Linked DNA regions of Tamandua tetradactyla. The protein of the gene in region 3 interacts with the protein of the main gene of each other region in a pairwise test. Links are inferred from orthologs where the notes say so. Each region holds a gene or a part of one and is shown on either strand. Other genes may lie near its edges. The genes, in order: MIIP, KCTD14, STK16 and RPIA.

Evidence for each region.
Region 1: the proteins of STK16 (region 3) and MIIP interact in binary tests that used the Homo sapiens proteins (3 or more experiments, as listed by UniProt). The two-hybrid records come from large-scale screens. The link is inferred for Tamandua tetradactyla from reciprocal best matches to the Homo sapiens genes STK16 and MIIP.
Region 2: the proteins of STK16 (region 3) and KCTD14 interact in binary tests that used the Homo sapiens proteins (3 or more experiments, as listed by UniProt). The link is inferred for Tamandua tetradactyla from reciprocal best matches to the Homo sapiens genes STK16 and KCTD14.
Region 4: the proteins of STK16 (region 3) and RPIA interact in binary tests that used the Homo sapiens proteins (3 or more experiments, as listed by UniProt). The two-hybrid records come from large-scale screens. The link is inferred for Tamandua tetradactyla from reciprocal best matches to the Homo sapiens genes STK16 and RPIA.

Annotation. Positions count from the first base shown.
Region 1 is NC_135328.1:213,403,184-213,411,116, reverse strand, and holds the start of MIIP (migration and invasion-inhibitory protein), read left to right. Parts: upstream 1-4,929; 5' UTR 4,930-4,930; coding exon 4,931-5,041; intron 5,042-5,441; exon of another isoform or gene 5,442-5,522; intron 5,523-7,582; coding exon 7,583-7,762; intron 7,763-7,933.
Region 2 is NC_135334.1:66,655,439-66,662,784, forward strand, and holds the start of KCTD14 (BTB/POZ domain-containing protein KCTD14), read left to right. Parts: upstream 1-4,327; 5' UTR 4,328-4,394; coding exon 4,395-4,463; intron 4,464-7,346.
Region 3 is NC_135329.1:194,982,180-194,990,198, reverse strand, and holds the start of STK16 (serine/threonine-protein kinase 16), read right to left. Parts: upstream 3,019-8,019; 5' UTR 2,914-3,018; intron 2,561-2,913; 5' UTR 2,457-2,560; coding exon 2,371-2,456; intron 1,794-2,370; coding exon 1,574-1,793; intron 1,309-1,573; coding exon 1,175-1,308; intron 1,008-1,174; coding exon 887-1,007; intron 763-886; coding exon 667-762; intron 246-666; coding exon 124-245; intron 1-123. Other genes in the region: GLB1L (beta-galactosidase-1-like protein), read left to right, coding at 4,412-4,480, 4,665-4,831, 5,083-5,233, 5,407-5,467. UniProt on the Homo sapiens protein: Membrane-associated protein kinase that phosphorylates on serine and threonine residues. In vitro substrates include DRG1, ENO1 and EIF4EBP1. Also autophosphorylates. May be involved in secretory vesicle trafficking or intracellular signaling.
Region 4 is NC_135343.1:62,580,952-62,587,853, reverse strand, and holds the start of RPIA (ribose-5-phosphate isomerase), read right to left. Parts: upstream 3,014-6,902; coding exon 2,726-3,013; intron 1-2,725. UniProt on the Homo sapiens protein: Catalyzes the reversible conversion of ribose-5-phosphate to ribulose 5-phosphate and participates in the first step of the non-oxidative branch of the pentose phosphate pathway.

The DNA.
Region 1 (7,933 bases), on a different chromosome or scaffold from region 3:
ATTGCTGCCTCCACAAGATTGAATCAGGATTAAAATATGGCTTTTCGGGGGTGTATCTACTATTTTCAAACCGGCACATTTTTGCTAAAATGTTAAGAATTTTTGCATCTATTGGCATGTAGCTTTCATTTCTTGTAATATATTTGACTCTCAGGGATCTTTGGTATCAGCAGGGTAGTGCTGGCTTCATAAAATGAGTTAGGAAGTATTCCTTCCTCTTCAATTGTATGGCAGAGTTTGTGTAGAATTGGCATTATTTCTTCTTTAATGTTTGGTATAACATACCAGTAAAGACATCTTCGTGCCCGAGTTCTCTTCTCATCCATGAGGTGGTCAGAAGGAAGTACAAGTCCACAGGTGCGACCTGAAGGAGAGACACTCCTGCAGCGGTGGCAGGTGACATGGGAGCCTGGGCGACCTATTCAAGTAATTTACTTGTGCCTTTTGGACCGGGTCAGACCCGATCCTGAGTATGCCATTCCATTTCTACCACCCAATGGTCTCTTATACCCAGCCTGACCATAAGTCTTAGTAACTCTGACAATACCAGCTCACTGCAGTGCCAGAGTCATTTGGTGTTCTGTGTTCAGGTGTTCTGGCTACCTAAGGGCTCAGTAGCATGCCACAGCTGTTTTGTTTTTTTTTCAAGCAGAGCAGCCATATATAACAGAAGATATGGCTTTTATCCAGAACCTAGGGGGTCTGTGTTGCAACTCTCTTACTGAGGCTTGTCAGAGACTCCATGCTGCATCTTTATCTGCCATGAATACCTCTAGCACCAGCTTTCATGAGTCCCTTCTTGCTCCAGATTCTATTCAAACTGGCAGCTGTGTCACTCCAGAAAGGGTCATAAGATTTTTCCCAAGAGAAACATGTTATCTTCAGAGTCAAAGACATTCACTAAGCACTTCTCTTTTTCTTAGTAATTGGAGGGGGAAGGTGCCACAATCTTTGACGTTGGAGGGCTGTTGCAACACGTTCTAGACACTACACGTAAAAATCATGGGATTTACTCACAGCCATCTGGCCTCTAAGTCTTCCTAGGAACACCTAGGGTAGTTGCTACATCCTATTCACTAAATCTAATTAGCTTGATGTTATCAGTTTCATGAGGCCAGCAGCACTCAAGGTCCTAAATAGATTAGATTGTGAAACAAAGTCGGAGGGTTTTATGGCCCTGAGTCAGGACTGTGAGCGCACACCACAGTATTTGCCTTGGGAATGGAAATCAATTTGACTCCTCCCCGCTGAGGGCAACTGAAAAGAGAGCATCCCTTAGCATTATAGCTGCAAATCCAGGGCCAAAGGCTGCGCTGTTCTGCTCCAGTAAAGAGTCCACATCTGGCCTCCACACTGGGACCACTGCCTGCTGTGGTCTATGAGCCATGCGGCTGTGTTTTGCAGGGTCAAGCAGGTGAAATGAGGGAGGACAGGATGTGGGCCAGCACCCCCCATACCCTTCACAACTCAGAGCAGGAAGAGGGAAAAAGCTTCAGGGGGTTCTACTTCCCCTCCCTACCTGCAATAGATTAAAGAGGTGGATTCCATTTCAACTCTAGCTTTGAATCTAGACCGCCTTGGTAACTTGCTTAGAGCAACAGAAAGTGAGGGAAGTGACTCTGTGCCCATTCTGAGCCTGAGACTTACAAAGGTCTGGAAGCTCTGCTTCCGTGCTCTTGGGATCCAGCCCCCGTGGAGGAAGGATGGGCTAGACTACTGAAACAAGCCAGGTGGAGAGAGACCCAGGAAGATGGGAGGACAACTTGGATATCCCAGCCCCAGCCGAGCTCCCAGCTGGAGGCAGCCACACGATTGAGCTCAGGAGAGACCAGAAAAGCTACTCAGCTGAGTCCCAGTCGGTCCACCTGTGACATAATAAATCTGTGTTGTTTGAAGTAATTAAGTTTTGGGGAGATTTTTAGCGCAGTGATAGATAACTGAATTGCCTGCCATAATGGCCCTTACTCCACAGATCAGGGAACAAATATGAAGGTTCCGCCAGCTGCTCAGGCTAGCCACCCCATCTATGCCTATGGGAACTGGGAAACAGTCACAGAGTGTTCTAGTTTGCTAGCTGCCGGAATGGCTTTTGAAAAGGGGAATTTAATAAGTTGCTAGTTTACAGTTCTAAGGCTGAGAAAATGTCCCAGTTAAAACAAGTCTATAGAAACGTCCAATCAAAGACATGCAGGGAAAGATACCTTGATTCAAGAAGGCCGATGAAGTTCAGGGTTTCTCTCTCAAGTGAGAAGGCACATGGTGAACACAGTCAGGGTTCCTCTCACATCTGGAAGGGCACATGGTGAACATGTCATGATCTGCTAGCTTCTTCTCCTGGCTTCCTGTTTCATGAAGCTCCCTGGGAGGCGTTTTCCTCCTTCATCTCCACTGGCTGGCGGACTCTGCTTCATGGTGCTGCAGCATTCTCTGCTCTTGCTGAATCTCTTGGCTTTCTCTCTTGTCATTCTCTTTTATAGGATTCCAGTAAGCTAATCAAGACCCACCCAAGCTGGTAATCCATCTTAACAACCACTCTTTTTTTTTTATTAAGTGTTTAATTTTTTTAAAAATATAACAACAAACAAATGCAAACATTCTTAACTTATGATCATTCTGTTCTACATATATAATCAATAATTCACAATATCATCACATAGTTGCATTTCATCATCATTATCATTTCTTAGAACATTTGCATCAATTCAGAAAAAGAAAAAGACAACAGAAAAAAATTCATACATACCATACCCCTTACCCCTCCCTTTCATTGATCACTAGCATTTCAATCTAAATTTATTTTAACATTTTAACAACCACTCTTGATTGAGTCACATCTCCAGGGAGATGACCTAATTACAGTTTCAAATATACACTACTAAATAGGGATTAGAAGAAACGGCTGCCTTTACAAAATGGGATTAGGATTAAAAGATGGCTTTTCTAGGGTACACACATCCTTTCAAACCATCACACAGAGCAAGTCCTGAAACCCACCGGACCCATAGAGATGGACTTGAGTCCAAACTCCATTTACCTCCTGGCCTCCATAAGCTTCCACTCCAGCTGGAGGGCCACGATGGTGTTTCAGGTCTCCTGGAATCAGTGTCAGCTCAGACTCTATACCTTAGGGTCTTTGGAAATTCTGAGTAGTCCACTTTTCCCATTGTACATTTTTCTGGCAAATGGCCACTGGCCCCCCTGCAGGAATATTTTCTATAGGTACCTGTGGTGGTATTGCACGTTCCTTTCTCAAGGAAACCAACCTTCCCTTCAATGAATGAGCTCAGTCTGAGAACTGAGTTGAATTTGGGCACTGGATGAGGAACCATGATTTTCCACCCTGTAGATGAAGTCAACCTTCTGTTTTAACATTTTTCAAGTTGAGCCATATCATGTTGACTGTCCATCTATCTGACTCCTAGGAACTTCATCATCTAATCACTGTCACAGATAACTGTAAGTTAAGAGACTCTCACTGCCACTCCAGCCCTGCAACCTCTTATAAAGTCTATCCTGCCTCTGGCAGTTATGTGATGGCTCTTGGCCTCTGCCATTCCCAAATCTCATCATCTCACTGATCCTAGGGAGGCCAGTGCCACGACAGCATCTGTCCCCATCAATCCCAACCTCTACAGCAGCCACCAGTGAGCTTCTCAAAGTTGCCAGGATCCCCTTATCAAGTTATTTCTTTTTGCCTGCCTTAAAGGGAATGTTCTTTGGACCTTCCTGAAAACACAGTCGGTTGGTAGGTTCTCAGAATGTACCTGGTAAAACTGTTCTTACATCCCTACTACCCTGAGACTTCTGACCCTTTCCCCAGTCCTATGCCAAGGAAGCGCTGGCATCTGCACCCGATTTACTGTAAACCATCACCACGTGCAAGCTGCCTGGGGCCGTCTCAGCAGATTCCTGCCGCCTGTTCAGGTGTCCTAGTCAGAACACTGGATCCCAAGTCATGGATGTGTGCCCCGTGGCAATAATTCTGTATTCAGATTTAAATTTGATACCACCCCACCCCACCCCCAGCATCCTCCAAGTGTATTCCCACGTCAATTTTCCTGCTTCTTTTTTTCTTGATGTTACGTATTAGTCAAGTCCTGCAATCCCTTTGATTCTGTAAGCAAGGCTTTACCTCCATCCTTGAACCGTGCAGGAGCTGACCCTGTTTATTGTCTAAGAGGCAGAGAGGGGTGAGAGTAGATCTAAATTTTATTTTCTTAAAAAACTGAGGTCTAATTAGTTCTTTCTCTAGTATTTAATGGCTGTGGGTTTCTGGGCAAGTCACTTTGGTATTTCTCCCAGCCTCGAGATTTTTGTTTGTTTTTCGGCTCTAAATGGCGACAGCATCACTCTTCGCAAAGCTTGGTTTCTAAGGAGAGGATGCATTGGCACAGGGGCTCTCCGTGTAAGCTGGCGCATATTCTACAGGCTGGATCACAGGTGTTCAGGTTCAAGTCCCACCCCCGCCTCCGCCCGCCCCCGTCAGGAACACCTCTTGGTTCTTCTCCGCCTCCCAGACCTTCAGACTAGATGCCCAATCAATCTCCCTTTAAAGAATGGATGCATAGTCGGCACACAGCAGGGAACTCGATAAATACGTGAACAGACGAATAAAAGATGAGGTCTCCAGCTCGCCCCGCCGGTTCCCACCCGCCAGCCTGGACACCAACGCCGCACCGGCCCACGAACCTATCGCTCTTGAACGTGCCGTAGCCGCCGGCCTCGGGCAGAACCAATCGGAGCCCGCCTTCCGGGCTCCCGCCCCGTTTCGAAAACCGACCCTCTGTACGCAGCCACCGAAGCTGACCAATCGGCTGTTGAGCCCAGCTGTTTATCCCGCCCCGCTGTTGAAACTGCCGCTTCGGAACGCGGAGTAACGCTGTCTGGAGCGACCGGCCCCGCCTCCACATCTGGCCAATCAGGGCCGCTAATGCGAGGCCCCGCCCACGCTCGGGCTCACCGCGTTATCTGCTGCGGCGGGCGGCGCTGTCCCGGCTTCCGGGTTGTGAGTGCGGGACCGGCGGGGCCGGGGAATGAGGAGGTGGGGCTCCGCGGTCGGACCCGCGTGCGCCCGCCCGGATGGTTCGGGCGGCCATGGGGAACGAGAGGGAGGGTTTCTTCTCCGGGTCCTGCCCCTGCGTCCCCAGGCACTGCCTCTTTCCCTCCCCCAGTTTCTCTTCGAACCTCACCTTCCGTTGCGTTTGTGCAGTTTTTGGTTTTCCTGAGCGCGGCTGGACCCTCCAAGGCCGTGCGAAAACGGGGACCCTCGGACTATAGGGGTTCGGCTTGGAGTCGCTTGGTCGTTCAGGGTAGTGGTCTGGACTCCCCGCCTGCGGATCAGGCTGTGTCCCCTGGTTCGCACCTCCACGGAGGCGTCTATATTCGCACCTCCGCCGCCCCCCACCCCCACCCCCGCGGGGGCACGTGTAAGGAAAGGGGTCGTTGGCTGACTCCTCTGCCCCAGCTCCGGCGGGAGGGCCGACAGCAGGACGTGTGACCCGGCCCAGCATTAATATGGGACGGTGCGTTTTGGGGGAAACGGTTTTCGGGTGTAGGAGTTTGGGCCTTGGGGTTCGGAGAGAGGTGGGAAGCCTCTTCCCCCACCCTGCAGAAATCCCTTCCACAGAGATCCTGGATCGCTGGGCAGCCAAAGGCTGGGAGAAGGAGAAAGAGGCTTCCCAGGCGCCTCTCCATACTGCCAGGGAAAACCTGGAGTGCCCTTGGTCCCTGGAGGCAGATTTGGGTTCACATCCTGACTTGGCCACTTGGGGCATGTTCCTTAGCCTTTCTGAACCTTAGTTTCTTCATCTGTAAAAAGTAAGGAAAGAGGAAAAGGAGGGCAGAAGGAGGGAAGAGTCCCCCGATTCTGCTGGATTCAGACATTGTAATGCTTTGCATTTATAGACTTGTACTAATTGCTTCCTATAAATTAAGCTGCTATAGTTCCATTTTAAGATTGTTAAGGGGGGTTACTTTTAGTAGGTAAAGGAAATGCACCTGCCAGACACTTATTGAATGTGCCAGGCACCGTATGAAGAATTTAACATGAACTACCCTATTTGATCCTTATGAGGTAGAGACTTATCATCTCTGTTTGGCAGATGAGGAAACAGGAGGCACAAAGAGGCTAGATAGTTAGCCTGTAGCTGAGGCTGCACAGTTAGGGAGAAGCATGGAGGGGATTCCTCACCCTATGCCATGCTCTCTCTCTCTCTTTTTTTTTTTTTCAGTATTTTAACATAATTATATTACAGTTAGATAGTATTGTGCTGTCCATTTCTGAGTTTTTGTATTTAGTCCTGTTGCACAGTCTGTATCCATTCAGCTCCAATTACCCAATATCTTACCCTATTTCTACCTCCTGATGGTCTCTGTTACCAACAAAATAGTCCAAGTTTATTCACTAATGTCAGTTCCTATCAGTGAGACCATACAGTATTTGTCCTTTTGTTTTTGGCTAATCTCACTCAGCATAATGTCCTTAAGGTCCATCCATGTTATTACATGCTTCATAAGTTTATTCTGTCTTAAAGCTGCATAATATTCCATCGTATGTTGTGAAAACCTTGTGTCTGATGCTCCTTTTATCTACCTTGTCCACAAAGAAGTAGAACATATGGAATAAAAATAAATAATAGGGGGAACAAATGCTAAAATAAATTTAGTTTAAATGCTAGTGATCAATGAAAGCAAGGGGTAAGGGGTATGGTAGGTATAATTTTTTTTTTCTTTCCTGTGTTCGTTTTGTTTCTTTTTCTATTGTCTTTTTATCTTTTTATCTCTTTTTCTGAATTAATGCAAATGTTCTAAGAAATGATGAATATGTAACTAAGTGATGATATTGTGAATTACTGATTATGTATGTTGTTTTATTTTGTTTCTTATTTTTTAATGAATAAATAAATTTTAAAAAAAAGTTAAAAAAAAATATTCCATCGTATGTATGTACCATAGTTTGTTTAGCCACTCGTCTGTTGATGGACATTTTGGCTGTTTCCATCTCCTTGCAATTGTAAATAACACTGCTATAAATATTGGTGTGCAAATGTCCGTTTGTGTCTTTGCCCTTAAGTCCTTTGAGTAGATACCTAGCAATGGTATTGCTGGGTCATATGGCAATTCTATATTCAGCTTTTTGAGGAACCACCAAACTGCCTTCCACAGCAGTTGGACCATTTGACATTCCCACCAACCATGAATAAGTGTGCCTCTGTCTCCACATCCTCTGCAGCACTTGTCATTTTCTGTTTTGTTGATAGTGGTCATTCTGGTGGGTGTGAGATGATATCTCATTGTGGTTTTGATTTGCATTTCTCTAATGGCCAGGGAAGTTGAGCATCTCTTCATGTGCCTTTTGGCCATTTGTATTTCCTCTTCTGAGAAGTGTCTGTTCAAGTCTTTTTCCCATTTTGTAATTGGGTTGTCTTTTTGTTGTTGAGTTGAACAATCTCTTTATAAATTTTGGATACTAGACCTTTATCTGATATGTCATTTCCAAATATTGTCTCCCATTGTGTAGGTTGTCTTTTTACTTTCTTGATGAAGTTCTTTGATGCGCTGTACCATGCTCTCTTAACTTCAGATAGAAGAACTGGGTCTAGAACCAGCTCTGAGGGTTCCCTGTGGGAAGCTGGACGATATATGGAAGATGCTGGAGGCTGAGGACACGGTGCAGCTGCGGCAGCTCAACCTGGAGCTTCTGAGGCAGCTGTGGGTCGGGCAGGACGCCGTGCGGCAAGCTGTGGCTGAGGCAGCCTTTGAGGTGGGAGGCACTGGTGGCATCTCCAGGGGAAGGGGCTGCTTTACCTGCAGATCAGAATCCAGGTCTCCTTGTCCAGAGAGGGGAGGGGAAGGGGTGGCTGGCCTGGACACTGCTGGGGCTGAAGCAGGGGTGAGGACCTTGGCTTTTGTGCCCAGCGAGGCCATCTGGGTA
Region 2 (7,346 bases), on a different chromosome or scaffold from region 3:
CCCAGAAGCTCCTGCTGCCACCTCCCTTCAGAGGGGAGCTTGCTGGATCTGGGGTCTAATCAGGTGGAGGACTTCAAAAGGAAGCCCACCATACTTCCTGCCCCATAAAGGTCTCCAGGGATGGGCATTCTTGTACCTGGGCTGTGTCTGGCACCAACTGTAACAGTGCCTCCTGGATTCCTCCCTGAAACTCTGCAGGGGCATTATGGGTGACAAATGTGAGGCTTCCAGAGGTAAAGGGACTTGCTCCTAAATACAGAATTTCCAGAGGGAGGCTGGGCAGGGTGAAGGACACACACTAATTTGTTACTGAGGCCCTAGATTGTTTGGAGTTTCCAATGTGGCTTTTCCCATCAAGAGGCTGCCTGCAGCTAAAGGTGGTCAAAGCAGACACTCTTCCTTCTCTCCTGTCCAGGACTTCACCTTCCCAGTTCCTCAACTCCCCTGCGCTGCCCTCCCGACCCTTAGAGGAGCCCCACCCAGCCTTCGATTGCTCGCCACTAACAGGTCCACCATGATGGATGTGATCGTTCTCTGCTCTTTCCTCTCAATGCACTGATCACACCGTGTAACGGATTAGTTATTTGTCTTGTCATTTGATTAAAGTCTGTGTCCCTGCTCCAGTGAGCTCCGCCAGGTCGGGTTCTTGGACTCTGGTTCACAGGTCTGTCCCAGGACCCAGCACCATGATGGACACGTAGTAGGTATTCAGGTATCTGTTTTCCTCCTCCCTAGAAGGAAATGACAATATCTGTTGTTGTTGGTGGTGGTGACAATATCCACCAGCGTTGTTCTGGAAATTAAATGGGATACAATTCTCCAAAGTGCCTGGCACGATGTCAGTCCAGTTTGGTTCAGTCCCTGGACCATTTTCTAAAGACCTGGATATTTCTTAAGTGGGTGTGGAGCAAAGGGAAGGGAAGAGGGTCTTTGAGGATTGGCAGAGGTCTCCCCTGCCGTGGGACTCACAAAGGGAGCCTTGTGTGGGAGCTGTGGGCAGCATGCCGCGTGGGACAGCTGGGCCCGGGGCTGCCAGGCCTGGGTTGGGCTGGGCTGGGCACTTTGCCACAGGCAGCCTTCTGAGGGCCCTTTCATCTGAGTCACATCTGCCACTTAGCTGGCTGGCTCAAAGCCCAGCTGCCTAGAGAAGAGAGGGGCTGGCAGTTTTGTCTCCGCCAGAAGAACAAAGAGAGAGGTGAGGGGAGGAAGGCAAAGGGAAGCAGTGCTTGCTCTTGGAATAAGGCCAAGGGGAAACAAGATCCATTTTGTTGGCGACTTCAAGGAGCGGTTTGAATTCTATTGTTGCCATAGCATCAAGCAGAAGGGGAATTGCAGGGACCATCTCAGACAACACCCAACCTCCACCATGTATAGGTAGAGAAATTGGGGCCCGGAGAGGGACAGGGATTGCCCACAATTAAACAAAAAGAAAGAACAACTAAAGAGATAATGACACTTAAATAAACACATAATACCGGATGGGATCTAAGAATGGGGGTAAAAGGCTAAGAAGGACACATTACTGAAACATAAGGAAAAATGGAATACAGAAAGCAAGCTTTATATCAGTGTTACATTTCTTGAACTTGATAATTGCACTTAAGGGGTTACATAACTGAACCATGTACATTTGTAAGAAATGTACATGGAAGTATTATGTATTCAAGGATTGTGATGTCTGCAAAATGCTCTCAAATATTCAGGAAATAGATAATAGAATGATATGCAAAGGTAGTAAAATGTTAAACTTGTGGATCTGGATATCTGAATGTATGTTGGAGTTCTCTGTATCAGGTTTATATTAGTTTTGCAACTGTCCTGTTAGTTTGAAATTATTTCGAAGTAAAACATTAAAAACTGCAGGCCCCTCCCTTGGAGATTCGGTTTCAGTAGCTGGAGTTAGGTCCAGGAACGATGTCTAACGAGCACCTCAGGCAAATATTACTATCAGAAAAGTCTGGGAAACACCATAGATTATTTCACTTAATTTAATCCTCACAGGAACCTAGGAAAATAAGTACTTTCACATGTATTTTACAAAAGAGGCAATTTATGCTCAGAGAGGTGGAGTAACAGATGGTCACACAGCAGGTAAGTGGCAGGGCCAGGAGTCCATCCTCGATTTGTCTCACTCCCAAGCCTTATCTTTTTAAAATTTATTTTTCATTTATTTTTTTATCATATATCAGTTGGTTATGTTGTTTCATTTTTAAACTGTCAAACTTTTATAGACTTTTTAAAAAAACATTTTTAGATTTACAGAAAAATTGGGAAAATAGTACAAAGAGTTCCCATAAACCCTGCACTCACTTTTCCCTGTTGTTCATATCTTCCATTAGATTAGTACATTTGTTACAATAATGAGCTAATATGTCCATTTTCTGTTCCAAGATCCCATTCAGGACACAACTTTACATTTAGTTTTCACGTGTCATCAGGCTCCTTTTAGCTGTGACAGTTTCTCAGACTTGCCTTGTGTTTTTTTTTTAATTTTTAAAAAAAATTTATTAAACATACCAACATACAAACACAAACATTCTTACCATATGATCATTCCATTCTTGTTATATAATCAGTAACTCACAATATTATCACATAGTTGTATATTCATCATCATGATCATTTCTTAGAACATTTGAATCAATTCAGAAAAAGAAAGAAAAAGAAAACAGAAAAAAAATTCATACATACCAGACCCCTTAACCCTCCCTTTCATTGATCACTAGCATTTCAATCTACTAAATTTATTTCAACATTTGTTCCCCCTATTATTTTATTTTTAATCCATAGGTTTTACTTATCTGTCGATAAGGTAGATAAAAGGAGCGTCAGACCCAAGTTTTTCACAATCACACAGACTTGCCTTGTGTTTGATGACCTCGATAGTTTTGAGGAATACTGGTTAAGTATTTTATAGGATGCCATTATATTGGAATATAATATAATGTCTGATGTTTTCCTCATGATGAGACTGGTTTTCTCATGGTTAGACTAGGTTTTGAGGATTTAGAAGGAAGATCACAGAAGTAAAGTGGCATTTTCATCCCTTCATATACGGTATATACCTTGCATCATGGTAGTGAGAAAGCCTTCTTGACCAAAAAGGAGAAGAGAGAGGAAACAAAATAAACTTTCAGTGGCTGAGATATTTCAAATGCAGTTGAGAGGTCATTCTGGTGGTTATTCTTACGCACTGTATCGATATACTTTTCAGTTCTTAGTGGAGGAAATTCCTGAAACTGTTGAGCTATTCCAGTAGCCTTGATTCTTGAAGACAATTGTATAACTATATAGCTTTTAAGGTGTGACTGTGTGATTGTGAAAACATGGTGACTGACGTTCCCTTTATCTGGTGTATGGATAGATAAGTAAGAAAATAAAGACAAAAAATAAATAAGATAAGGGATAAGGGATGGTCGGATGGTCTGGGTTTTCTTTTATTTGAAAAAAATTTTCTTGGATTAATGAGAATGTTCAAAAATTGTGGTGATGAATGCACAACTATATGATGATACTGTGAACTATTGGTTGCACACTTTGGATGATTATACGGTATGTGAATATATATCTCAATAAAATTGCGCTTAAAAAAGAAAATAGGGGATTTTCATATTGTCAAAAATAAATAACCATACAGAAGAGATACTAAGTTTTTTTTAAGAGCTGTTGTAGTTTTACAAAAAAATCATGCAGAAAGTAGAGTTCCCACCTCCCCACCCCCCATCCACACAGTTTTATTAACATTTTGCATTTGTGTGGTACATTTGTTACAACTGATGAATCCATATTATTATATAACTAATGTATCCATATTATTATAATGATATTATTATCTGAAGTCCATAATTTACATTAGGGTTCACACTTTGGGTTGTACAGTTTATCGGTTTTGTTTTTGTCTTTAGATTTTTATTTATTTTAGATTTTATTATAAACAACATAATTTTTTTCTCATTTTGACCACTTTCAAGTATACAATTCAGTGGCGAGTCAACTCTTTTCATCACTGCGTCTCACTCCTGCCAGCCGCCCTGGAAGGTAGGCTGTGTGTTTCCGAGTCTCACTTTTCTCCTCTATAAAATGGGTGCTGCTGATCCTTCACCTCGCGGCAAGTCTCGGGTGACATTGCCAATTGCCAATTCCTACCGCCTCCCCCATTCGACTGACGATTCGTCCTGTGCCCAGAGAAGGCCAGTACCTTGCATAGGGTCCCACCGCAAGCCCGGCGGAGCCCGGGCCTAGCCCGGGGCTGTGAGCACACCCGGCGCCCAAGCCTCCGCCACCCCGGGGCGGGGAGCAAGGTGCACTTCCGCCGGCCGCGGGTTCCCTGCACGTGGCGCGGCTGGGCGGGACGCCGGGCGCTGGCCTGGCTGCGCCCTGCAAACCCCAGGACGATGAGCCTGTCCCCGGCGCTCCGGTCCCCGCGGCCCGGCCGACCGGTGTCCCCCGCAGGCTCGCCCACGGTGAGTGCGCGCCCCCGGGCTGGCAGGGGCCCGCACTGTCCCCGCGCCTATCCCCTGGACTATCCCGCCGCCTTTGTTTTCTTTCATTCCTTTCCTTTTTGCCCCCGTCCGTCCTTCCCCCGGGTCTGAGCCCCCAGCTTCCGGCGAGCTCTGTCTCCACCTCTGGCTGGGAGCTTCTTAGCTTAGTTTTCTCCTTAGCTGCCTTTTATACTTTGATCTCTCCTTTCGCGCGTCGATCACCTTTCCTGTTCCCGGATCTTCCAGCCTCTCCTACTTTCCCTCCTTCTTCCCTAGCTGCCTTTGTTTGTCTCCTCCCTCTCGTCTCGGTCTTTCAGTTGCTCTCTGTGTGGCTCCACTTTTAGTCCCCTGGCTTGTCTCTTGCACCTCTCTTGCTCTGCCTCTCCCTCTTTCCTGTTGTCACCCCTTCTTCGGGTGGGAGAGAAGGATCCCGCTGTGGGTCAGGCAGATCACGTCTCCCAACTCCACCTCCAGTCTGCCTCTGCCTGCTGGCTGGGTCCTGAGTCCCTCTGCTCACCTGCCCTCTCCCTGGGCTTGGGGTGGAGGCAGGATCAGGAAAAGACCAGTGAACTCTAGGAGCAGAACATTCTTCCCTGGGCCAAGTGCCATCCTGAAGACCTGGAGGAAGGGAAAGAAGATCCAGTAACAGGGAGAGTATGGCTTTTTTCCAGTAGGGTGATAATAACGTCATTGTTGGCTAGTGACAGTTGCCCGCTTAGTGCCAGGACTGCCCTAGGTGCTCAGTAAATGTCCGAGTGAATTGCCAGGCAGAGAGGGAGCCAGCCCTGGGCACAGAGCAAGATTGGCCTTTATCAGAACGCCAAGTGTTCCCATAAATCAGGGCTAAGGGTAAGCTCAATTCAATTTAACAAACATTTATTGAGCATCCCCTGTGTGCTGAGCTCTGTAGCAGGAACTGGTGACATAATGATGAATCCAGGGTAGGCCTTGCCTTGAAGAATCTCGCATTCTAATGAGGACACAGATGAACAAACAGGGAATTATGAGAGAAATATCTCCATGATAGTAGTAACCTTCTGGGATCACAAAGGAGATGAGCCATCCAGAAAGATTGTACGAGGAATTAACTTGAAGGATGAGTGGGCTAAGTGAAGGGAGGGAGCGTGGGTGGCAGGCAGTGAAGTTCTGGAGGCCAAGGGGCCCAGCCTACTCAGCATGATGGGGCCTGGGGGCTGGCGGGTGGCAGCTTGTGGTTCTGGCAGCTGATTGCTGCAGGTGGAAGCAAAGGGCACTATAAACCCTGTTAAGGAGTTTGAAATTTATCTGGAAGGGAATGAAGAGTCACTGAAGCACGTAATGCAGGGAGTGACAGGATCAGATTTGCACTTCGGAAAGGGTACTCTGGTTTCAGAGTGAAAAATGGATTGGGGGAGGGCCCTAGAGGGGGCAGGGAGACTTGGAACTGACCAGGCAAATAGAATCACCAAAACTTGGTGATTGATTGTGCAGGGAGAGGTCGAGGGCAGGAGTGAAAAGCAAGATTATGCCTCTGTTTCTGGCCCTGGCAACTGAGATAGAGAACAATGCAAGAGATTAGGGTTGTGGGGTGGGGAGAGATTCTAAAGAGCTTGTTGGATATCTGGGTGGAGGTGTCCCTGCATTGACCCTAGTTGAGGATGACCTAAGGAAGCGTATGAAAGTTTGGGGCAGGTGGTGCAGACCCTTTAGATTGCATCTAGGGGAAGCTGGCCTATTTTATTCAATCCTGTGTCCTCATAGCTAGCTCTGACCTGTCATCAAGCAGGAGCTCATTTCTGAGGTTGTGGAATAAATGTCCTGGGAGAAGTGCCTTTCAGTTATCCAGCAGATCCTCCCCCAACCCATAGACAGAAATCCTGAAGAGTGCAGGGCCTGGACAGGCTTTCCCATCCAGGAATGCTTTAGCAGTGTGCAGGTGTAAAGGTGGGTAAGAGGGTCCGTGAGGAAGGACAGGTGGTCCCGAAGAAGGACGGAAAAGAAGTCTTCATCTGCTAGAAACATACTGCAGTACTTATGGGTGCGAGAGGAGGTCTGGGATTTGCAAACAGATTGGGAGTTTGGGGATAAAAGGAGGGAAGAGGGGCAGAATTAAGAAGCTTGGGAACAGAGCTAAGGTCTTGTTTGATAAACAAAGAAATAGAGCTGAGGACGCCAGGGCAGGAAGCTATTTTGCAAAGCCTCGGAAATTAGCTTCAAAAAGGATATTTGAAGTGATTTTTATTTGTTGGACTTTCAGAGCTGAAGCGACTTAGAGTTCTTCTGGTCCACTTCTCCCCATTTCACAGATGAAGAAGCTTAGCCCCAGAGAGGGAAAGTGAACTTCCCCAGGCACGCCACAAACTATTGCAGAATTGGGATTGGATGTTAGAAGCGGTGGGTGTAAGATAGCACCCCATGCTGCATTGGAGCTCCAAATCAGACTGATATGGGCTTGATCCCAGCTCCAACTTCATCACTTCCTAGCTGTGTGACCCTGGACAAATCACTTCTTCTCTCAGAGCTTTCCTCATCTGTATTAAGGGAACGTCTAGAGAGCGGGTGAGCCTGAGAGCCGGTGAGCCTTCCATGGGATAGAAATGCTGAGACCACATCGATCCATTCAAAGGTTAAAATCTGGTACTTTGCATTTAACTGCTTGCCTTACAGAGGTGATCTCAGGGTTAACCAAACAATCTTGTCAAGGGACCTTGAGCTTTATGGGAGAAACAGCAAGCTACACAGCCCTGAGCTTATTTTCTTCATGGCTATATTGTTTGGCTGCTGTCAGGATGCATCCTTTCCCCTTCTCCCTTCTCCCCTCCAGCCAGCAGAACGGTCCCCTGGTAGGAGCTGTTGCCATGGAAACGCAATTCTCCCCAGCAGTTT
Region 3 (8,019 bases):
GCTTGTAAGAATATCAAGAATTCTCCACTTGGGGAAGTTGAATTTTCCCTCTTTCTCACCATTCCCCCAAGAGATTCTGCAAATACTTTTTTACTCACTGTTGGTGCCCCTTTTATAGCTCACCTGGGGCTTTGCGGGATGCTGAGTTGGTTCTGTACCGCCAGGGCCACACTGTCACCTTTCTGGAACACCATGTCATAAGGACCTTCCCCAAACATCATGGCATACAGCACACAGCCTAGGGACTGAGCACCACTTGGTTATTCCCTAGAATGGACCAATGAAGGTGATATCCCTTCTTTACTAGTGTAGAGAAAGGAGCTGCATAAGTCAAAAAAGAATACGCCAACCTCAGCCACATGGCACCACCATGGCCCAGAGAAACTGTCAGTTAGCTGGAAGCCTCTGCATTCCTTGTCTAGTTACTGCCTTCAGTTCTGGTACTTAGCTGTATCCACCCTGTTCAGGGGCAGGGATTATATCACTTCCTGAACAACTGAGTATGGTATCACTGACAGTTCCCAGGAAGGAAGTCAAGGGGGGATGGGGACATACCAGGGTTCCTGAGGCCCCATGTGGTAGAAACCAAAGACGTATTCCTCTACCACCAGTGGGTACAGAGCAGCATTCTACCCCTGCCCAGATTTCTACCCACATGCTCCTTACCCAGACGTCAGTCCGTTCATCGATGACACAGTGGCTTTGCACAGAGAAGAGCTCTGGAGCCCGATAGGAGATGGTGCATCGCTGGGCTGCCCAGTCCTGGAACAGTGGCCCCAGAGCCCAAAAGTGAGGCACAGGTCACGGTCCAGTGCTAAATTGGGGTATATATCAAAAAGGGCTGGGGATAGGGAACACATGGGCAAAGGAACCAGGAGACTCTCACCTGTAGGGCCAGAGCCTGGCGGGAGCTGTCCACCTGAATGCATGCCTGATTCATGGAACCCAAGTCCATTAAAATTGGCTGCCCCTCGTCTCCAAGCAAGATGTTGGTGGGCTTCAGGTCTCTATAAGGAAGTGGAAATGAATTGTGACCACCCCTGGACAGGGAGGCTGGACCCCTAGAGAGCAAAAGAATCATGGGGCTGTTTCTCAGGAAAACAGAGACCTCCCATTTCTCCTGGTAAGGCTCTTCCCCTCTGCCCCAGCAGGTACACAGGGTCTTCCCACTAACCTGTGGGCATAACCCTTGGCATGAATGGCTTCGAGGCCTCTGCAGATACCCAGCAGCAACAGCAGGATTTGATCCTCAGTCAAGAACTTGCCTTTGTCCTTCAGCCTTTCTATCTCATTCCACAGCGTACCTCTCTGTAACACAGTTTTCCCCGCAGTTGGAAATGACTTCCAAGTTCTCTGCTCCCAGGACATGACCCTTTCCCTATGCCAAAGCCTATCAACCCCTTCTCCACATACACCTCAAACCCTCACAGTACCACCTGGGTTCCTCTAAAACCCAAATCTGAAGTGGCTAAAGTCTGAACATGGCCCCAGCTTCCTAACATGTTTGATTGCTCACACAGCCCTTGGCAGGTGGCTCTGTTGAAACCCCTCCATAACTAGGAGTCCTTCTGACCTTGAAGAAGGGTAGCAGCAGCCAGGCCTCTTGTTTAGAGCCCCGTTCTTTCAGACAGTAAGCCACGAGGTGAAGGATGTTGGGGTGATGGAAGAGGCGATGCATGTCTGCTTCTCGCTGGGCCTCCTCTCGGTCCTGCTGCTCATGACACAGGATTCGCTTCAGGGCGTAGAAGCGTCCATCATGTAACCCCTCCACTAGGTCCACATAGCTGAACCCACTGTGGGCCAAAGGGTCAGTGAAGGACCACGGTCATCTCCCACACTGCCTGAACCCAGAGGGGATTCCCTGGGAAGAGGAAGGGGGTGTATTTCTCTTTTAGTAGCAACCCTCCCAAGATGTGGCTCTAAGAGACATCTCAAGGCTATTACACTTTGAGCCTCCCAAGAGCAGAGATATGACCACCTTTAGGTCCTGTGGTCATAACGTGCTCTGTACATGAAGATGCTCAATAACAAGGAAATGAAAAATAGTCAACATTTACCAACTGCTTATGCACCAGGCCCTGCACTAGACATTTTACAAGCATCATCTTATTTAATCCTCACAACTCTATCAGTGAGGCATGATAACTGTCCCCCACTAGGCAAACAAAGAAACCATGGCTTACCAAGGCCACACAAGGTGGATCTAGGAGGCCTGACTCCAGAATCCACTTTCTTGATGACCATATGGCTAGGCCCTGTCAGGTGAGTTAGAGGATGGGGATAAAGCTTTTGTACCCTTATCACGAGCGAACTGGTGTTCCTCATCCACCATCACTCTGGGAGTCAAGAAACTGATTTTCAAGCACTTACCCCTCCCCCAGTTTCTGGATGAAGAGGTAGCGCTTATTGTCAATGATGACAGTGCCCCGAGAGCAGACACACAGTGCGTGGCCCATAGTGTCTCAATCATCCTCCTCAAGGACGGTCTGAGGCTGCCGAAGGGTTCATCAAGGGTAAATGGGTTTTTCCAGGCGATATGCAGGGGGTCCAGCGAATCATGCTGGAAGGAATAGAACGGCAGGGTCGCGGGCCCGGCACAGTACAAGTGGCCCCGAATTAACAACGCGGAGAGTCCAAGTCCAGGGACCTATATTCCCATTTGAGGAAATGGGACCTGGCAACGCTAGCTCCAAGAAGACGGCGGTGAGGAGCTTTAAAACATCAGACCACGCAGCAGTTACCAGGCCGCTTCCTCCAAATCGTATCTACTTTTAGACAGCCCCCACTCCCACGCCCTTCGGGCGCGAAGTCAGAGTACCGAGTAGTTACGGGGGAGGTGCGAGCCTGACGCCCACCCCTTACAGGACCCAGCCCCAACTCTGCATAGGCTGCTAGTCGCGACTCCCCACTGACCTGGCCCGGGCAGGAGCTCCAGAGTCCGGAAGCAGTGGTTGCATCATCAGTCCGCGCGGGCGTAACGGCCGGCGGTATCCTAGCAACGGCTGGGTACCCGGAAGATGTGGAGGCGCCGAGCTGAGAGGCCTGTGGCGGGCTAGACCTGGGGGAGGACGGGTCCCAAGACCCGGGAGAGGGTCCCCACCTGGCCTTCAGTAGGGGTCAAGACGCAGGCACCTGCGTCAAAGGGGAGCAAAGCCGGGCCCAGCCCTAGGTTCCCCAGGACCTCCTTCTCCCAATGCCCGAGGTAGGAGACCTGAAATGTCCGGCGTGCTGGGACCAGAGAGCTGCAGAAGCGCAGGGAGGGGTGGGTGCTGGAGTGCTGGATTCCTGGAACTCTGATAACAATTCAGCCTCTGGGGACTGTATCTCACTACCCTAGTCTTAGTGATTAAGAGAGCTCAGACTTTGGAACCACACTGTCAGGATCCAAATCCGGATTTAATAGCCTACTAGCTGTGTCACCTCAGGCAAGTTACTTAACCCCTCTCAAGCCTCTCTTTACTAGCTCTAAAATAGGTATAGTAGGACCCAAGGTTAACTGCATGATCCGTGAGGCCAAACTGCCCAGTTCAAATCTCAGCTCTACTAAACTAGTTATTTGACCTTGGACAGTTTACTTAATATTTCTGTCCCTCAGTTTCCTCCTCTGTAATACTGGAATGATAATTATTTACCTTAGAGAATTATCTGAGGATAAAGTGAGATGTCAGTTCTTTAGCACAATATCTGACACAAAGCTCTCAATAAGTGTCAATAAACAATAATAATAATACTAAGTATCCTGGGCCTCACATCCTAGGCTTGGAAATTCCCAAATTCCAAAATCTTAGCACCACGCAGTTGTCCCTGACATCTTTAGCAGGCAGGGATAAGAAGATGAAATGGCCTGGATGGGCCCTTTTGCTGAAACAGCCCCCTCCAAGAAAAAGATCCCTTGTGTAATCTGCTTTCCCCCATTCATATGCCCAGTCATCAGGAAGATTTTCCTACGATTTCCCTTGGTTCTGGCATTCACTCATCTAGATTAACCTGCTATGTGCTGGACTCTGTGCTTAAAGCTGAAGAACAAGGCACTCCCTGCCCTCAGGGTGCTCAGTATAGTAGAGAGGTGCTTCTCAATCTAGAATGTACAGAGGATCGCCTGGGGATCTTGTTAAAATACAAATCCTGATTCCATAGGTCTGAGGTTGGACCTGATAGTCTGCCTTTCTAACAAGCTCCCTGGTGACGCTGATGAAGCTGGTTTGTGGGCTACACTTTTAAGTAGCAAGATATAGAGAACTTTACGATCCACTATAGTGGCGGGTGGCTGCAAGGTTGGAAACAAAGTCTAGGCTAACCGCCTGGCAATTTGGGGTGGTCTCCGCCCCCTTGCTCGCTGAAGTTCCCTCCCAGGAATCCGCCACGTGACGGTCGGATCGCCGTCTCAGACTAGAGGAGCCCTGTAAGCGCCATGGCTCCCAAGAAGCCGCCCTGTCTTCCCTCCCTGCTACTGCCGCTCCTGATGCTGCTGCGGGCCCAGGTAAGTCTGGAGTGTTGAACTCTCCCGCCTGGTGCGGTGAGGCAGGATCAGACCGGGCAGATGAAGAGAAAGTAAAAGTAATAACAAGACAATGGGCGGGGCTAATTCCATCTTCCCCGCTCTGGGCAGACGCTGACCCCCACTCCAGATGTCTGCTAAGCACCATCTCACCTTCGCTTTGCAGGTAGAGACTCGGTCGTTCGTAGTGGATCTGTATAATGACAGGTTCCTCCTTGACGGGGTCCCGTTCCGTTACGTGTCTGGAAGCATGCACTATTTTCGGGTACCGCGGGTGCTTTGGGCAGACCGACTATTAAAGATGCGAATGAGCGGCCTCAATGCTGTACAGTTGTAAGAAGTGCTTGTGACAGCCGTGGAGGGGCGGGATTTACTCTCCATACTGCTTCCTTAGGAATGGGGTTGGGCAAGAAGACAAACTCAATATAGAGTGGTTGGGACTCCTGGGCTCCCAGGTAAAGATTGGGAAAGGACAGACAAGGACCACCTTCCAGCTGCATCCTGGAGTTTCCTGCAGGGCCTGGGCTCTTAGGTTTCCCTGGCATCTCCCCACCTTGGGCCCTGTTAAACTCTTCCTTCCTCAGTTACGTGCCCTGGAACTATCATGAGCCAGAGCCTGGGGTCTATAACTTTAATGGCAGCCGGGACCTCTTTGCGTTTTTGCATGAGACTGCTCTAGCGAACCTGTTCGTCATCCTGAGACCAGGACCTTACATCTGTGCAGAGTGGGAGATGGTGAGTTAGTTGGAGAAGGGATAAAATCAAACCTCCATGTGCAGTTCCTAGACTACTGCCATTTGTCTACGCTCTAGGGCCACTTCCAGCACTACATTCAATTTCTTACCTCCTCCACTTCACCGCAGAACAAAACCTACACTCTTCTTTGTTGTTTTTTTTGTCTATCTCAGGGAGGTCTCCCATCCTGGTTGCTTCGAAACCCTAAAATTCATCTGAGAACCTCAGATCCAGGTGAGTTGAAGCAAAAGATTTAACACAGAGAAAAGCAAACAACAAAACGTGAGTCACTTGGGTTCCAGAAACAGGAAACACTATGCCCAAATTGGAGATCATTCATTCAACTATTTATTGTTTCCTACTTGTCCAGCAGGATGCTAGAAACTGGCACAACAGACAGACCCAGTTCCTATGAAATGGACCTTATAAAATAGTGGAGACAGGTTTTTAGAAATTAAACCTATAAATAAATTAATCACAAGCTGTAAAATTACCACATGAGAAAACAGACAGTTGAGATAGCCTATAACAGAGAAGTAGGGTAGTCAGGAAAGGCTTATATGAGAAAGAAACATTTCACTTGACCTCAGGGAAGGGAAGTCACTGGTCATGTGAAGAGTGAGATGAAAACATCCACGTAGAGGGTACAGTGTATGTTCTAAGGCCCAAGATGAGAAAGAACATGATTGAATAACTGAAAAGGCAGAATGGCTGGAGCATAGTGGGTGAAGGAGAGCATAGTATAACATGACATTGGAGAAAGGTAGAGACAATTGATGCAGGACCTTGTAGATCACAATAAAGGGTTTGAGTTTTAAGTACAGTAGAAAGCTATTGGTATGGCATGATCTGATTTATTAGCTCTGATGGGGAGAATGAATTGAGGAAGTAAGATAGAGGTGAAGAACCTAATTGGGAGACTCTGATTGAAGTTGAGGAGAGAGACGGTGGTAGCCAGTATTAAGGTGATGATGGTGGAGATGAAAAGAAAGGGCAGAATTGGGAGATAGTTTGGTAAGAAAAATCATCAGGACTTGTTGATGGATTTTGATTGGAAGGTGGAGGGTCGGAAAGAAAGGAATCAAGTTTCTGGCCAGTCAGGATGGTGGTACCATTAACTGACATAGGGAAGACAGAGAAGACTAGTGGTGGCAGAGGAACAACTTTGAAGAGAAAAACAGTGGTTCTGTTCTGGTCATGTTAAATTTTCATTATCTGTGGCATAGTCAAGTGAGGATATTAAATAAGCAATAGGATGTGTGGGTTTGGAACTTAGGGAAGAAGTTTGAGCTAGAGAGATAAATTTGGGAGTCATCAGTCTGCAGATAGCATTTAAATCCCATGAGATCTCACCTGGGGAGTAAGTGTAGCGAGAGAAAAGATGAGAATTCAGGATTAAGCTCTGAGAATGCTCAGTATTTCAAGGAGTTTGGATTTCATTCTGCATGAAAATAGGAAGTCATAAGAGCAAGGGAATGACTGATTTGATTTTACCTTTTTAGAAGATCACTCTGGCAAAATACCTTAAATCTGCTGGGAACTCTCCAGGGGCTGCTTTACTTCCTTGAGTGTTGGCGTGCTTTATGCTCACCAAAGCATTTTCCAAACTCAGTTGTCCATAAAATACATTGTAAATGATCAAGGATTGATGGAGTACGAACAAGAGATCTGTTTTTCTCAACAAAACCATGACCTCTACATCACTAAATCCATGGTGATCTTTTAGGCCTTATGCTTCCTGACCAAGCAGCAGCATCAGCACAGGTGATCAGTCTGTCCTTTGAAGTACTCTTCTCTTAGCTTTCATGATATCACACTTATCTTGTCTCTCCCACTCCCCTCCATCTTTCTGACCACTCCATAGACTCTTTTTCTCCATTTCGCATACAGCTGAATGCTGGATTATTCCAGGGCCCAGTCCTTGGACCCTTCCCTTTTCTAGAAATAAATCATTCCCAGATGCTCTCATTTATTTTCATCACTTTAAATTTAATTACTGTGTATCTCCAGTCTTTTCCCCTGACTTTTATCCAACTCCCTACTTGACTTCTCCACTTGGAAATCTGAAAGGCTTAATGATACAACTAAGCTCTTGATATCGCTTCCCCAAATCAGCTCTTCCTACAATCAACTCATATCAGATAGTAACAACTCCATTTACTGATTGGTCAGGCTTATGCCTTTCTCTCACACCTCACATTTATTCCATCAGAAAAGCCTGTCAGCTGTATCCTCAGAATACTTTCAGAATTCAACTACATTTAATCACTCCCATTGCCATCAGCCTGGTCCAAACCACCTCTCTCACCTGGATTATTTTAATAGCTTCTTAACTGGTTTCCCTTGTTTTGCCCCACCCCCACCCTCCATGTAGCATGTTCTCAGCACAGCAGCCAGTATAACACTGTTAATGTTTAAATACGTATCTTAGTTCATACCACTTCTCCATTCGACTTGCCAATAGGTTTCTATCTCTTCAGAATACGAGCCATGGATTCCTTAAAATGATCTACAAGGCCCTATATAATTGACCCCAGTTACTTCCTAACATCCTGTCTTCTCCTTCTTGTTCACAGGGCACCAGCCACAAAGGCCTGTCATACTTGAGGCCTTTGCACGTGGTGCTCCCTTTATCTTCCTGTAGAAACCAACTTCTCAGTGAGGCCATCCCTGACCACCCTCTATGAAATTTAAGCCCCCTCCCCTACAACATTTTATATCCTCTGTCCTTTTTTTCTATCCTTGGTCCTAACATCCTGTATATTTTTTAATCTGCCTCCCCTACT
Region 4 (6,902 bases), on a different chromosome or scaffold from region 3:
TTCAAATGATGTTGGGAGGTCATTCTGGAGGTTACTCTTAAGCAGATATCAGGGCATGCAAGGCCTCCAGCAACAATGTTCCTGAAAACCCTAAGGATATCCAAACACCATAAACAAACCACAAGATAAAGAATTCAGTTAACTATTTTTTTAACTTTTTTTATTAATTAAAAAAAAATTAACAAACAAAACATTTAAATATCATTCCATTCTACATATACAATCAGTAATTCTTAATATCATCACACAGTTGCATATTCATCATTTCTTAGTACATCTGCATCAATTTGGAAAAAGAAATAAAAAGACAACAGAAAAAGAAATAAAATGATAATAGAGAAAAAAACTATACGTACCATACCCCTTACCCCTCGCTTTCATTTACCACTATTGCAAACTGAATTTATTTTAACATTTGTTCCCCCTATTATTTCTTTTTATTCCATATGTTCTACTCTTCTGTTGATATAGTAGCTAAAAGGAGCATCGGACATAAGGTTTTCACATTCACAGAGTCTCATTGTGAAAGCTGTATCATTGTTCAATCATCATCAAGAAGCATGGCTACTGGAACACAGCACTACATTTTCAGGCAATTCCCTCCAGCCTCTCCACTACATTCAGTTAACTATTTAATCTGAAAGATAGCTGGAGTACCCCCAAATATCCACTGACCATAAACAACCTGCATAATCTTTCCATGTGAAAGCCCTTGCCTGGAAATGCCAAGGTGGGCCAGGATTCGGTTGCTACGTGAATCTGTGCCGAACTGCAATTCTAAGACCCCAAATGAATGCCTTTATTGCCTTGAAGTTTAGTTTGTTATTTCTTGGTTGACAGAAGTAAACCTCAATACACTCAGGCACACCAGCACCTACCCAGACGAGACCAAGGGGATCCCATTTTGCAAGAGCCCACCCCAGAGAACATGGAAGGAAGGCATATTAGGGACATGAGCTACAGACTCATATAGGGAGGCTGTATGACAGGGGCAGAGCACTTCCTGAGTAGAAAGGGAAAGAAAGGCCTCTCACAAAGGCAGAGCCATATAAGAAAGGAGGAAGACACCGATTAGCAGACAAGAGGCAGACCACTAGCAAGTACAGCTCAATCTGATCACAAACAGAAAGACAAGGTCAGGAACCAACCGTCAGGAAGTTTAGTTCGGAGGCAACATCCAGGGAACAACCTCCTGCTAATCTAAGGCAAAATTAGTAGAAACCAAAAGCAGGCAGTTACCAGGAAGTTTTATAAATATTGATACAAATTACACCTCACGACAACCCCTTAAAACCTAGAGATCTACTATCCTTATCTTGGAGATGACTGCAACACAGTCTGGAAACATTTAAGACCCTGAAGTGAGCAAGAGCTTACAGGGTATGTGTTCAAGGAACTGCTGGAGGCTCCACCCTGAATCTAAGGGGTGTGGGCCTTTGTCTTTGATTAGCCTATTTTACAACTCTAAGGATTAAGAGCAGAACATACAAAACTCAGCTGATCTTGGTACCTCAGGAAAGAAGCTGGCAGGGAAACTGGGTACAACTGGGGTGGGGTGAGATGCAAGTGTTTCCTGGTTCTAGTCTGAGGAGGCAGCTTGCAGTTTTTTCATTTAACCAAACACATAGCTATAAAACAATGATCCTGGAAGCATATGCCACCAAATATTAATATAAACAGGTTATCTGGAAAGCTTAAGACTTAGGGCTTCTCTTCCAAGAGATTTCATTTATCTGTCTACTACCAATTCAAGGTATCCAAAACCTTCTGAAATTTCAGTTTATTATCCGAGGCCATGAAGCCAAACAGAGGGCCAGATTATAAATATTACATTATCTCTGTGAATTCTCCTAAAAAATCCTCTCACTAACCAGGAATGCCATAAGCTACACCAGAAAGGCGAAGGTACGGGAGTCACTCCGTTTGAGGTCTCCGGGACCTTCGGCCACTCCACAGGTTACCACACTGGTTCTTTCCGCTTAAGCTATTTCAACGCTCAAGCTTTACCCAATACTAAACCACTTTACACAGCAAAGCGCTGACAAATGTAAAGAACTATCATTACGGGAGACAAGGGAACCCAGTACCACTTTCTAAGTAAAACAGGGGGTGAGAGAAAGCCAAAACGGCCAGGAAAAACGCCACTACAGGGCACAGGTACTCCATTTGGCTGCAAAGTACTATAATTAACTTAATTGGTGATAAATCCACCCGGGCTGAAAGACGCCACTAACAGCACCTGGATCTCACACCTAACAACCTCACTCTGAGGGAGAGCACCCGCCAGACCTCACGGGCCCGCCGGGTCAAGGAGGGAGGTTCGAGCGCCCGAGCGCCGGGTCTCCAGCCTTGGTTCTGCCGGCCGGCACGTGCCACGCGGGGAATCGACTAAGAAGAACTTCAAAGACTCGCGAGCCAGCCGTCCGCAGGCTTGCCGGCAGCCCCAGAATACGACCATTTTCCTTTGCTGACCCAGGCGGCCAGTCCCTTCTAGCCCGCGTCCCAGAGACCCGACACCACCAGGTTCCACTTCACAAACTGTTGGCCGGCCTGAACACGGAGCCTTCAGCGAGCTCAACTTCTGGGGAGCTCGCCCCCAACCCACGATACATCTAAGAGCTGGGGAAGACACCGCACGCCCCCTCCCCGCGCACGTGCAACGGCCGTGCCCAGGGAGCGCACGACGAGCCCACCGAGCTGGGAGCAGGCGCCCCGCGCGGCTCACCCTCACGTGGTTCTCCACAGCCGCGCGACCCGCCAGCCTTTTGGCCTCCTCGGCTTTGGACATCGTGGAAGGGGCAGAGAAGACGCGACCACCACCGCCCCTGCCACGAGCACCCGGACTGCCCGCGCCGCCGTGAGGCCGGGAGTCCGCGCGTCCCAGTGGATGCACGTGGAAGCCCGGGGCGCCCCAGCTGCTCGCGCCTCCGCCCGAGGCCGCGCCCCCGGCCCGCCCGGGCAGCGGGGCCAAGACCCGCCCGTAGAGGGTGCTGAAGGGCCCGGGGCGCTGCATCCCGACGCCGAGCTCCCGCCTCCGCCGCGATCCCGCCCTGGCTCGCCCAGTGTCTGCCCATGCGCATAGCCCGCTCCCACTGCCGCGCCGGGCTCCCCGGGAAATGTAGTTCTCGGGGCCCCGCGGTCCGTAGCCGCGCTCTCACCGGAACTACCAGCCCCACGGTGCTCCGCGGCTGGTGCGCAGTTCGCCGGTTGCCGGCTTCCGAGGCGGGCAGTGCGACCCTGATGGCTGTGGTCTGAGCGTCGTGCCTGCCTTTCTCCTGGGAAGATATGTTTGTTGTTGGATGCATCTCTCTGATCTGTGCGCCCGTGCGGACAGGCGTGTTGGAGCGGACACATTAGCTTTCCCAGCACTGAAGACCTGTCGTGGTCGAGACCTCAGGGCAGTGGCTCATTTGGAGACGCTCTTAGGCCCCAGCGCCGGCTGAAATCCGTCCTCAGACCCGGCAGGCGCAGGACCACATGTTCCGAATCTCCTGCCGTAGACGTTGCATGGCGTGCTTCGCCCTGGTGGAGTTGGCCCATAAGTACAAGTGTGACTTGCAGTCCTTGGAGACTCGAGAACTAACTGAATTTAACAACTCTCTCTCCTCTATCGTTAAGATGCTTAGGAAATAGTTAAGGGTGGGAAATTGTTACCGTCCCTATTTTACAAGCGAGGAAATTGATGCTTCCGCAACCATACCGACCACTTGGAGGTCCTTAAAAGCACGTGACTCTGCCTTTGTACTGCTGGTCCTTGTTGGTGAAATCCCATGAACTCGCCTTCATACTCTTGTCCAGTATGGACCGCTGTCGCCGCCCTCATTGCCTCAGTTTTCTTTACTGTGCTGTCAGCCCCAGGTCGTCCACTTTGGTCTGCAGAAGGAAAAATTCTTTGAGGCGATGTTTAAATTCTTGACTTTTAGGTGGAATTCAGAGATTAGCAGGATAAAATATCTGGACCCTACTTCTGTGGGTCCCTGCAGAGTTGAAACTTTTGACCTTGCTGAAAGCCCTTGGTGCCAGTCTTTTCCCCGTTCAGGCACCCTGGGTCCTTAGCACACATACGAAGAGGTTGGTAGATCAAGTGTTAGTGTCCAGTCTTTACCCTCTAGCCTCCGAGCCTTTCACTAGGACTTCCCACCACCTGAAATGCTCTTCTTACAACCCCCCCACCCCCCCCACCCACCGCACATCTTTGCACTGCCAGCTTCTTCCTGTGGGTCAGGCGCAGCTAAATTGACACTTCCTTAAGGAAATCTTCCTGACCACTCCATCTAAATTAGGGCACCCACCTAGCCTCTACCACTTTACCTATCCTAAAACTGTCCTTGTTCACTTCTTTGGTTTTGTACTTGCTTATCATCTATCTCCCTCTTTAAAAGCATCTCTGAGATGGTTTTTTCTCTTTTACCTACTGCATCTTTCAGTCCCCTTAAACACTGACATGTAGATGGCACTCAATAAATGTCTAAGGCATGATGCAATAATAAATAGATTTTATGCCTCTATTCCACACTGTACCTTCAGCCATATAGAATTTCCGTCTCCACAACCTGTGCTCTTACTTCCATGTCTTTGCACACCCTGTACACCTTTCTTGCTCCCGGAGTTCTTGGAGACTCCACTCAGTTACTACATTGCAAACATGAACCCTGCCATCGTTGGGTTGGGTACTCCCTATGTGCCCCCAGACACCTTGTACTCTGCCATTATTATCTTGCTCTGTTCACTTGATTTTCTCACTCAAAGGACTACAGTCCCTTGAGGCAGTTCCCCATAGGATGCACAGTGCATGGCTCAATACTTCACAAGTGAGTAATGTCCTACAAAGGTCCACCTGTTTGGGCTACTTTGTTTCTCATTTCTTCTTGTCTCCCTTCTCTCTGTCCACATTCATGTCTTCATTCCTTCCCCCTTTTAACCCTCCTTCCCAATATAGTTATCCCCTCATTAGCTTGTCTATCAGAATATCAGAAGTCTTGCCCCACCTCTTGGGAGAGGATTTGAGAAAGAATGTTTTACAGCATTATACTACAGACCAAATTGCTTAGGTTCACTCTCTCCCACTCTGTCACTTCCTGCTTTCCCACCTCCTTTCACTCTCCCTTCCCTCTTTCTGTCCTCCAAAGTGTTGATTTTGAAGGTGATTCACAGGTAAAACGGTAGGAAGCTGCAAAGCAGATGTTGGGATGGATTTGAGCATCTTGGGAGAGATTGAAGTGGTGCTGGCTCAAATTCACTTCAGGCTAGAGCTTGAATTACCCGTTTATTCAGCACCTAGACCAACTTAGAAACAAACTCAAGCTACCCCACCCCCACCCCATACCCTTGGAATAATCTTTTGGAGCCTCAACATGTGCCCTTTTGTTCCGTGAGGGCTGGTTTATTGTCTACTAATAATTTTGACCAACCATTAAGGCCTTGGGAGAGCCTGGGGCCTTATTATTCCTGGTGAGCCTAATGATCAGAATGAGTCGTGGTTAACATTTTAGTGTTATAGCCTTACTCTGTACTTATCACTGGAAAGCAGCATAATGCTGCTTGCTTTATCAAAACCAAGTCTTATTGATGGCTGACCAAGCCCATGGTCCTGAAGAAAATGCGTATAGAACAATTCCTTAGGGCTATGCAGATCATTCCTTAGATATACGTCAAGCTACCAGTGGTGGATTATTTGTGCACCCCACTTTGGACATGCTGTTGGTCTTGATCCACAGTCTGGTGTTATTTTTAGTTAAGGTGCGGCCAACTGAATCAGTTTGGGTTTTAATCTGGATTACTGGAGTTCCTTAAAGCAGAATAAAATTCAGACTTAGAAAAAGCCACAAGTAGGACCCAGAATCCAGGGGTGAAACAAGACATGGCCAAATGACGGAAAAGCCAAGAACCAAGGATCAGGGCAGGCAGCCCCAGAATGACAGTCTTCTGGGAGAGAACATTGCCTTGTTGAAAACATTATTTTTCCATCATTGTAGACTTCTAGCCTCAAAACCATGAGCCAATAATTTTGTTTGTTTATATGTTTGAGCCGACCTATTGTATGGTATTTGTTTTAGCTGCCAGGAAAACTAATATACTGCCTTTTGATATTTTTAAAATAGGGATTGTTAAATGGGAGTGATTTGGTCCCTCAGGGGATATTTGGCAATGTCTGGAAACAATTTTTTTTAATTAGAAAATAGTTTGTATTCTCTACATACAAAGTATTCTCTAAGTAAAGGTTAGAGAACAACAAATATTTTTTTAATATAAAATATAAAAATACAAATATATTTCTCCCATTTTTTGCTGGTCTTTTGACTTTGTTTATAGTGTGCTTTATATACAAACATTTTATATTTTAATATTGTAATCATCACTAATTTCTTTGCCAAAGTCATGAACATATTCTCCCATATTTTCTTCCAATACTTTTGTGTGTTAAGGCTTTTACTCCATCTGGACTTTAATTTTGCGAATGGTAGAAATCTGACTTTATTTTTTTTAATTAGATTAATAGCTAACTGTCTTACTATCTATTGACTAATAGGTTCTTTACCTGTTACTTGAAATGCTACTTTTATTGTATCTTAATTCCTTCATATACATGAAATTTTAGTTTCCTACTATGCCTGTAACAAATTACGTGCAAACTAATAGCACAATTTTATAATCTGATAGTTCTGGAGGCCAGAGCGTGAAATATCTCACTGGGCAAAAATAAAGATGTCCTCAGGGTTGCATTCCTCTGGAGACACTATGTTCCTGCACTTTCTCCTGCTTCTAGAGGTTCCTTGCCTCCATGGCTCATAACTGCTCACACCATTGTCTGATTTATTTAGTAGTTTGAGTTTTTTCCCCCTTATTAGAGAAGTTGTAGGTTTACAAAAAAAATCATGCATAAAATAATGGATCCCTAAAAA